Rattus norvegicus: one gene and its partner. The protein of the gene in region 2 interacts with the protein of the main gene of each other region in a pairwise test. Links are inferred from orthologs where the notes say so. Each region holds a gene or a part of one and is shown on either strand. Other genes may lie near its edges.

Region 1 (3,908 bases), about 74 Mb from region 2:
ACATAAAACATCATGCACACACACAATTTTGTTGTTACTGTTTCAAGACAAGGTTTCTCTGTGCAGTCCTGGATGTCTTGGAACTCTTTCTGTAGTCCAGGCTAGCCTTGAACTCAGAGATCTGCCTGCCTCTGCCCCTAAGCGATGGAATGAAAGGCATGCGCCACCACTGTCTGGCTGCTCCTGGATTTTCAAGTAGATTTATCTTGCACCCCAACTGCAGCTCAGATACTACAAAAAGTCTGAAAACCAATGCCTGGCTACAAATTTTGCCATGCAAGAGAATCTCTATTGCTAAGATTTGATAATTGGGGGTTGGAGAAATGGCTTAGCAGTTAAGAGCACTGCTCATAACTGTCTATAACTCCAGTTCCAGGGGATCAGGCACTCTCACACAGACACAAACGCAGGAAAAACACCAATGCCCATAAGCAGCTAAGGATGTCCTCGAACAACTCCAAATGCTGGGATTAAAACAGAAGATCATCATCTCTCATACCAGAGAAATTCCCACTGGTTGTTCCCCAAGCCTCAAAAAAAGAAATACATTTAACTTTTTACTTAACTATGGCCAGTAAGATTCAAAGAAGCATATCTGGGGTTTTAGTTTGTTTCGTTTCTCCAAGGAGTGACAACCGAAACTACGAATTTTGCTCTGAATTATGCAATTCCAGTTTCTAAAAGATCTGCCTTCTGGGAAGGTGATGCTCCAGTTTTTGGTGCAATACTGATGCAAAGTCCTTTAGGATCAGCTACTAAGGGAAAATTTTTAAAAATCAAGGTAGGCCCAACTATGAGAGTCTGCAAGTTTGAAAACTTCTAAGTTAAAGACAATTAACATTTGACCTCTGCAGCTCAGTGGCTTTATCAATTGCAGAGCACTCGTATTCGCTATATCTCAACATCTCAACTGACTGCCCTAAGCAAAGAAAAAAAGAAATTCAAGGCAAACCAGAGGACCCTCAGGATTTCCTCTTCAGATCCCCAGTGGGATCAGGTCACTCAGTGAGCATGCAACTTTCCAAGGCTCACGGACCTGCAACTCTAGTCAGTGTTTTGGCCCGGGCACTTTATCAGAAAATGTTTACAATTTTATCAAGTGAATTTATAAATATCCTACTGAACTGGGAACTCCTAGCAAACATATCATGTCTTGTGATGTTTCTGGGGAAAAAAAAAAACCTGAATAAATACTTTTTACTCTTCAAAGAAACTAAAAACATTGATAAACGCTGTAAACAAAACATACAGTTACCTCCCGGCATGATGTACACACCTTAATCCCAGCACTGAAGAGGCAGAGGCGATAGGGTCTCTGTGAGTTGAGGCTTATCTATAGAGCCAATTCGAGGACAGAACTAAATAATTTGAGAGATCCTGACTCAAAGGGGTAAAAAAAAAAGATTTAGGCTGAGTTCATAATCCTAGCAGTTAGAAGACTGAGGCAGGAGGATCTCAAATTCAGTCAGTGTAGACTACATAGCAAGATTTCCTTCTCAAAACAGAAAACACAGGGTAGTGTTGAGGGTTCACTAGTAAAATACATGCTCATCATGTTCAAACTCCACCACCACCAAAAAAAAAATCTTTATTAATAATAATGTCACATATTATATGATGTTTATAATAACTACTATAAACATTAGCACCATACCAGGAGCAGGAAAGCACAAAATCTCCTATACGGCTGGACTGTTTAAGGCTAGTATGACCACTTGAACAACATAACCATTTCTTATCTCTAATCCACTTCTGAAAAATCACAGGATGCCCAAGCAGAACTGCGATCGTCTGTGCCGTTATCTTGCCCGTGGGATATTAGTGGATTTACTTCACGAGTCTCTCAATAATCTCATTTTATAGGTGGTGAAACACTCAAGGACTTAGAAAGGATTGAAGAGCAAACGCTCTCCCTCAATGGGACATTTCATGGTGTTTATGTCTCTCGGCAACACTCCCTCTGGTTGAGTTTGTGGCGCCAGCACTAGAACACAGTAAGGATGAACAGCCACAGGCCACAACAACTGGTCCTTCAGAACCGATTTAAATGGCATGGCTCAGACAGCCCTTGTGCAAACAGTGTACAAGGCGGTCCCGGCAGTTTTTACAGGGCAATTAAGTCACCTGGAGACCTGTGCTTTGGAGGTGATAGGTGACCTCCTGGTCCAGACCAACCGGCTACATCTACGGCTGAGTCTTGCACTCCGCACCACAGGTCACTCACTCATCAAGTCCCTAAAGGGATTCTAAGGGTTCTTGGCACCGAGGGGAGCCACTGAAGGCCGGACCAAGAAGGCCACCACGCCCCAGGCTCCTCTGGGACTTCAGGTAGGCTGGACTGCTGCACTAACTTCGACCCCGGAGTCACCTCCTCAAGAGTATTCGTGACGCTGGGAGGAGCTGTGCCCTACGGGAACACCAGAGGACTCAAGGGGATGGGGCTCAAAGGTCTTCTAGAGCGCGATGTCCGCAGTTTCGGGCTCACCTGACGCTCAAGGCCCGCTCGGTGCCCCCTCTCCGACCCCTAGTCTCCTGCTCGCTCGCCCGCTTCAGCCCGCTTCCGGCCAGCCCCCGCCCGATGTCCCCTCAGGCTGAGGGCGAGTCACCGAGAGAAAGCCGAGCAGAACTTTCGAAGAAGGCCTCCGCCAGGTTAGGACCTGGGAGGGGAGGACTGGGGACCGAGCGGGCCACTCACCCTCAGCCGCTCTGTAGGTCAGTCAGTCTCCGCGTCAGCGACTCCCTCCGCACCGTCGCAGCCGAGCCGGCGAGCGCGAGGACCGCAGGGCGGCAAGACGGCAGGACGGCAGGACGTGCGCACGCAGCGAGGGGCGGAGCCATAGGCCACGCCTCCAGACGCGCGGCAGCTAGCAGGAGGCTCCTGGCCAAGCTGACACTGCCTTCCAAGACTGCTTCGGGAGTGGTAACATTAACCCGAGAGGAAGGAAGCGTGTCAGTAAAAGCCAACTGTTTGTTGATCGAGAATCGGGGCTCGGGGCAGGAGAGATGGTTCAGCAGTTAAGAGCACTGACTGCTGGGCTGGAGAGATGGCTCAGTGGTTAAGAGCACTGACTGCTCTTCCAGAGGTTCTGAGTTCAATTCCCAGCAACCACATGGGATACAATGTCCTCTTCTTGTGTGTCTGATAGCTACGGTGTACTCAGATAAAAATAAATAAATCTTTAAAAAGAGAGAGAGAGAATCGGGGCTCAAGCCTGGAATCCTAGCACTCGGGGGAGGAGTGGGGGGACAGGGATGGGACTGAGGCAGGAGAATTCAAGAGCAACAGTGTGAGCATTTATCAAAAAGACAAAAACACAACAGGATTGGGGATGTAACTCATTGGAATACAATTATTAGATCCTTAACACTGCAAAAAGAAAAAAAGAAAAAAGAATGAACGCTTTGCAGTGACATCATTTTCTTGCTTATCCTCTTATATCTGTGCATGTATGTAGGAGCCAAGTTAACCACTTGGCACTTAACACACAAGCCCCTTGACAACTTGGCACATAACACGCGAGCCAGCCCTAGGAAGTTCCAGTACAAACGATCATCTTCACTCAGGTCTCTGTCCACCTCTGCTAACAGTCCCCTGTCTGTCTTCTGTGTGGACCTTGTTTGTGGGGACTAGAGATGTAGCTCGGAGTAAGTAATGCTAAGGATGAGGGGCCAATTCCATTCCCAGCACCTACGTTGGTTGTCTAGCAACTGCCTGTAACTCCAACCTCAGGGGATCTGACGCCCTCTTCTGGCCTCTGCTAGCACAGGCACATACCAACACTCAAGTGCGGCTAATTCAAAAATAAAACAGCTTTCTTCTTTCTTTTTCTTTTCTTCCTCCCTCCCTCCCTCCCTCGCTTCCCCCTCCCCTCCCTTCTTCCTTTAAGAACTCACTTAAGTAGCCTAGG
Region 2 (3,908 bases):
TACTTCCTCAGTACCTGCTCTCCCCGCCCATCCCCTTCCCTCCAGAGTCGTCAACACCTGACCCTCCCTGAGATTACATGCGTGCAGTGCATCTCCATGCTCAACGGTGATGCTTCTCCTGACCCTCATAAACCCTGAGGGGATGAAGAGCAGGCCGGGGTTATCAGTCCTCATTGTAAAGATGAAGATTCAGAGAAGCCGAGGAATTTGGCCGTGCTAACACAGCGGCAAAGTGCCGGAGCCAGGACTGCATCTCCAGACCCCAAACCCTGAGTTCTTCCTATCAGCTCTTGGGACAGCGCCCTTTCCCCGGATTACAGTGTCACGTACAAAACTGTTCCACACACTCCAGAATGAGCATCTGTTCTTTGTCTTCCAGGTTGTCAAGGTGGGAGGCCTGGAGGAAGGGGAATAGGAAGGGGTAAGGCCGCCACCATCCCCCCCCACCCCCGCCGTCAGTCACCCTCCCCTGCCCAAGGGCACGCCCCCTCCCTGTCCTCACCTCCTCTCGAAGATGGTCGTTCTCTTCTTCCAGCAGTTTCAGCTTCTGCTTCAGGGCTTCCAGCTGTGGGCAGTGGTGCAGCGTCTCAGCCTTAGGGGGCCTGGCAAGGGGGCAATGAGAGTCAGACTGTAAGGGGTGGAGGATCCCAGTCCCCCAAGGCTTCCCCAGACGAGGCAATGCCAGCAGGCTAACTGCCCATGCCCGTTTACAAACGGACAACCGAGGCACAAAGGCAGAACACGCACGGCTTGGGGGCACCATAGGGATGGTCGTGCTGCTGATCTTGGTCCCTCTGTCCTTCTCGTTCCTCCTCTTCTCCCTCTTCCTCTTCCTCATCCTCTTCATCCTCCTCATCGTCATCGGAGTCCGAGTAGAGCTGAAGGAGATCATCTCGCAGGTTCACCTGCTTCCGGAGATGTAAAATCTAGGGCAGGAGAAAGGGGCCGCAGAAAGGTGAGCACGGAGGGGCAGAACAGGTGCTGGTTGGGGGAGGGAACAAGCCGAACCCTCCTCTTGGTCCTTAGGAGCCCAGATACCTCCTCTCTGGCTGAGCCCAGCATGGTTTCCAGCTTGTTATTCTCCTCCATCAGAACACTATTCTGTTTCACCAGGGACTGGCCGATGCGAGCGGCTGTGTTCAGGTCCCGTTCTTTCTGCAAAAGGAGAGCCAACCATTCCATACTTCTCCCAAACAGGAGGGCGAGAGCAGGGGCTAAGCCACAAGAAGAAAGTTGCCCCAGCACCCAGCCGTCCAAGTACTAAACCAAAGACTATTAACCAACTCTGGGGTCTGACTCAGTTTCTCATCCTGAGGAAAAAGATCAGCCCAGATTTGGTCCTCTGAAATCTATGTGCCTTTCAGGAAAGGGGCCCTCAAGTTGGCACCCAGGCAAGCAGAAAACAGACAAAAGCCCTAAGTCCTGTAGGGAAGAGCTAAAATGAGGGCTGGCCTGAGTGAAGAAGGCAAGGCGGTACCCACCTCTTCCAGCAAATACAACATCACTTTGATATCATCTTCGGTGATCTTCTTCCTGGGCAGTGGATTAGGACACAGCGCTGCAGGAGGAAAGGCCTGAGTGGATCAGGGAAAGGAGCCGAGGCTGCCCACAGCCCCCTACATCCCTCACAACAAAAGTGGTGAGACTGCGTTCTATCTGGCCCTAACACCCTCTTCACAGCTCCGGATCTCAGCACTCCTGCCTTCTCAGGAGGGGCCTGGGTGCTGTAAAGGCAAAACCATCCTCCAGGCTCAGGAACCAGACTTTCAAGACCCCTGGGTCTCTGGTCCCTCGAGATAAGAAGTCAGGGGAAATACTGGATTCATCATGCCTGACTCAGTCGGCAGCTTAGCCAGCTCACTGGAGACTCCTCGATCGTAACAGATGCACGTAACCCATCCTAAACCTGTTGCATGTGACAGGAGGGCCAAGTAGACTTACTTCTTCAGCACCAGAAGCGGGCACCTCAGCCTAAAATTGCCCCGCCCAGAAGAGGAGGGACAGAAGGCCAGTGCCCCGCCCACTCCTCCCGCTTCAATCCTGCTTCAGGAAAGCGCGACCCAGACCCCTCCGGCCAAGCAGTGTCAAAGGCTCCCGCCCCGCCCCCCGCTCTACCCACCCACGCTGGCTGGTCCTGCGGGCTAGCGCAGGCTCAAAGCGCACCCGGCAGCGCACCCGCAACCCCCGCCCCTCTGCTGGCACTGCGGTAGACGGGGAGGGGGCATTGAGAGTGCGCAGATCTGCCACAGCAACAGGCGCGAAGAGGGGGGCGGGGAGAGCAAGACAGCCCTAGATCTGACGCACCTACAATAATCGGGGAACCTGAGACAGAGGAAAAGATGGGGAAAGGGAAACCAAACAGGCACGGCGGACAGTGGTCTCGCAGGGGTGGTGGAAAGGTGGGACTGAGAGCCACAAGGGGGCGGGGCGCCTGAGTCGGTGGTTATTAGAGATGCCCTAATAACGCCCAGTGTGGGATCCCCGAGACTCAGTTTACCTTCCTGCAGCTCTCGAATAAACGCCGCGCGCTCAGGGCCGGACACGCCGGGCCTTCGGCCGATGTACGCGGCTGGCGTCTTCCAGATTCCCTCAGCCCTTCCAGTGCCCAGGCCAGTAGCCCGGGGACCGTAAGGCCCCTGGAATATGTAGCGGGTCCATGGTGCGTCCGAGTCGCCACGGATCCTGGACCTACAAAAGCTTCCTCCTGTCTTGGTTCGGGATCCTGATTTCTGTCCGGACCCGGTTCCCTGCGCCGGAGCAGGTTTGGGCTCTGCCGAGGGCTCCGGAGCGGGATCCGCTGCAGGCTGGGTCGTGGGGGTGCCTGTTGCTGGGTCCCCCGACCCCGTCCCGTCCCCGGCACTGCTCTGCACCTGCTCCTTCGGGCGCATCTTGACTCTGCAGTCCGCTGTCGCAGCCGAGCCTTTATAACCTGTGCTCGGAGCGGGCGCCACTGGGCTGTACCACGTGTGGCGCTAGGGGTGACCGTTGATCAATTAGTGGTGCTGAGGACTCGGGATCCTACGAGAAAGCAGCCAGTGGTGACGGAATAGGACGTAAATGAATGAAGAAGAAAGAAAGAGATGAGAGAGTGCCCAGTTTTTTCCATGGGATCGAGTTCACGATGATGGGTTTCTCTTCCCTTCCATCTTCTGAGAATGGTTCTGTCCAAAGCCGCGGCTTCCCTGGACTTGAGTAGAGGGACCCGTAGCTTCTGCCTAGAAACAACCCCCCCCTCCCAGCCCTCCCGCGCGCGCTCCCGTCACCCCAGCTTCCAGGGGCTTTCTCTGTTGTTCTACACAACATTGAATACATTCCGAGGTGACCTGAGAATCGAGGCAGTACGCCTGTGTCTTCCCAGGTGGATTAAGCGAGAAATCCAAACTCCGGTATGGCTTTCAACGTGTTGCGTGTCATCCACAGGTCCTCGAGCTCACACTCCCGCACTCGCCCCTAGACGCCTTCCATCTTACTGCGTTCACCACTCGTTCTTTTATCTCCAACCCTAATTCGCAAGGCCTATATATAGTCCAAGCATCTTCGGAGGGGATCCTACTTAAATGTTTCTCTGTGACGACTCTTCCAGACCTCCGTGTACACACACACACACACACACACACACACACACACACACACACCAAAACACCCGTTATCCCGGGGTCTGAAAGGATCAATGTCGGTCTTCACGACTTTACCTATGCTCTTCAGTTCATGGACGGTGGGCTCCCCAGAGAAATAGATGCTTTGGAAGCTTGCTCTCGGTCCTGAATGAACTGGGAGAGGGGGGTGGGAGCTAGGGAGGGCAGTAGCCATGTCTATGCTTTTAGACTGCGAGACAGGCTAAAAGGAAATGGTGACTCATGGACTCAGATCTCAAAATCGTTCTTGATGTTCTCCCTTCTCCTCCACCA

Evidence for each region.
Region 1: the proteins of Hap1 (region 2) and Hmox2 interact in a two-hybrid assay, tested with the Homo sapiens proteins (2 studies listed by BioGRID and IntAct). The link is inferred for Rattus norvegicus from reciprocal best matches to the Homo sapiens genes HAP1 and HMOX2.

Annotation. Positions count from the first base shown.
Region 1 is NC_086028.1:11,334,811-11,338,718, forward strand, and holds the start of Hmox2 (heme oxygenase 2), read right to left. Parts: upstream 2,803-3,908; 5' UTR 2,696-2,802; exon of another isoform or gene 2,486-2,695; intron 1-2,485.
Region 2 is NC_086028.1:85,783,594-85,787,501, forward strand, and holds the start of Hap1 (huntingtin-associated protein 1), read right to left. Parts: upstream 2,911-3,908; 5' UTR 2,889-2,910; coding exon 2,498-2,888; intron 1,559-2,497; coding exon 1,482-1,558; intron 1,156-1,481; coding exon 1,039-1,155; intron 927-1,038; coding exon 748-926; intron 603-747; coding exon 503-602; intron 398-502; coding exon 331-397; intron 1-330. UniProt on the Homo sapiens protein: Originally identified as neuronal protein that specifically associates with HTT/huntingtin and the binding is enhanced by an expanded polyglutamine repeat within HTT possibly affecting HAP1 interaction properties.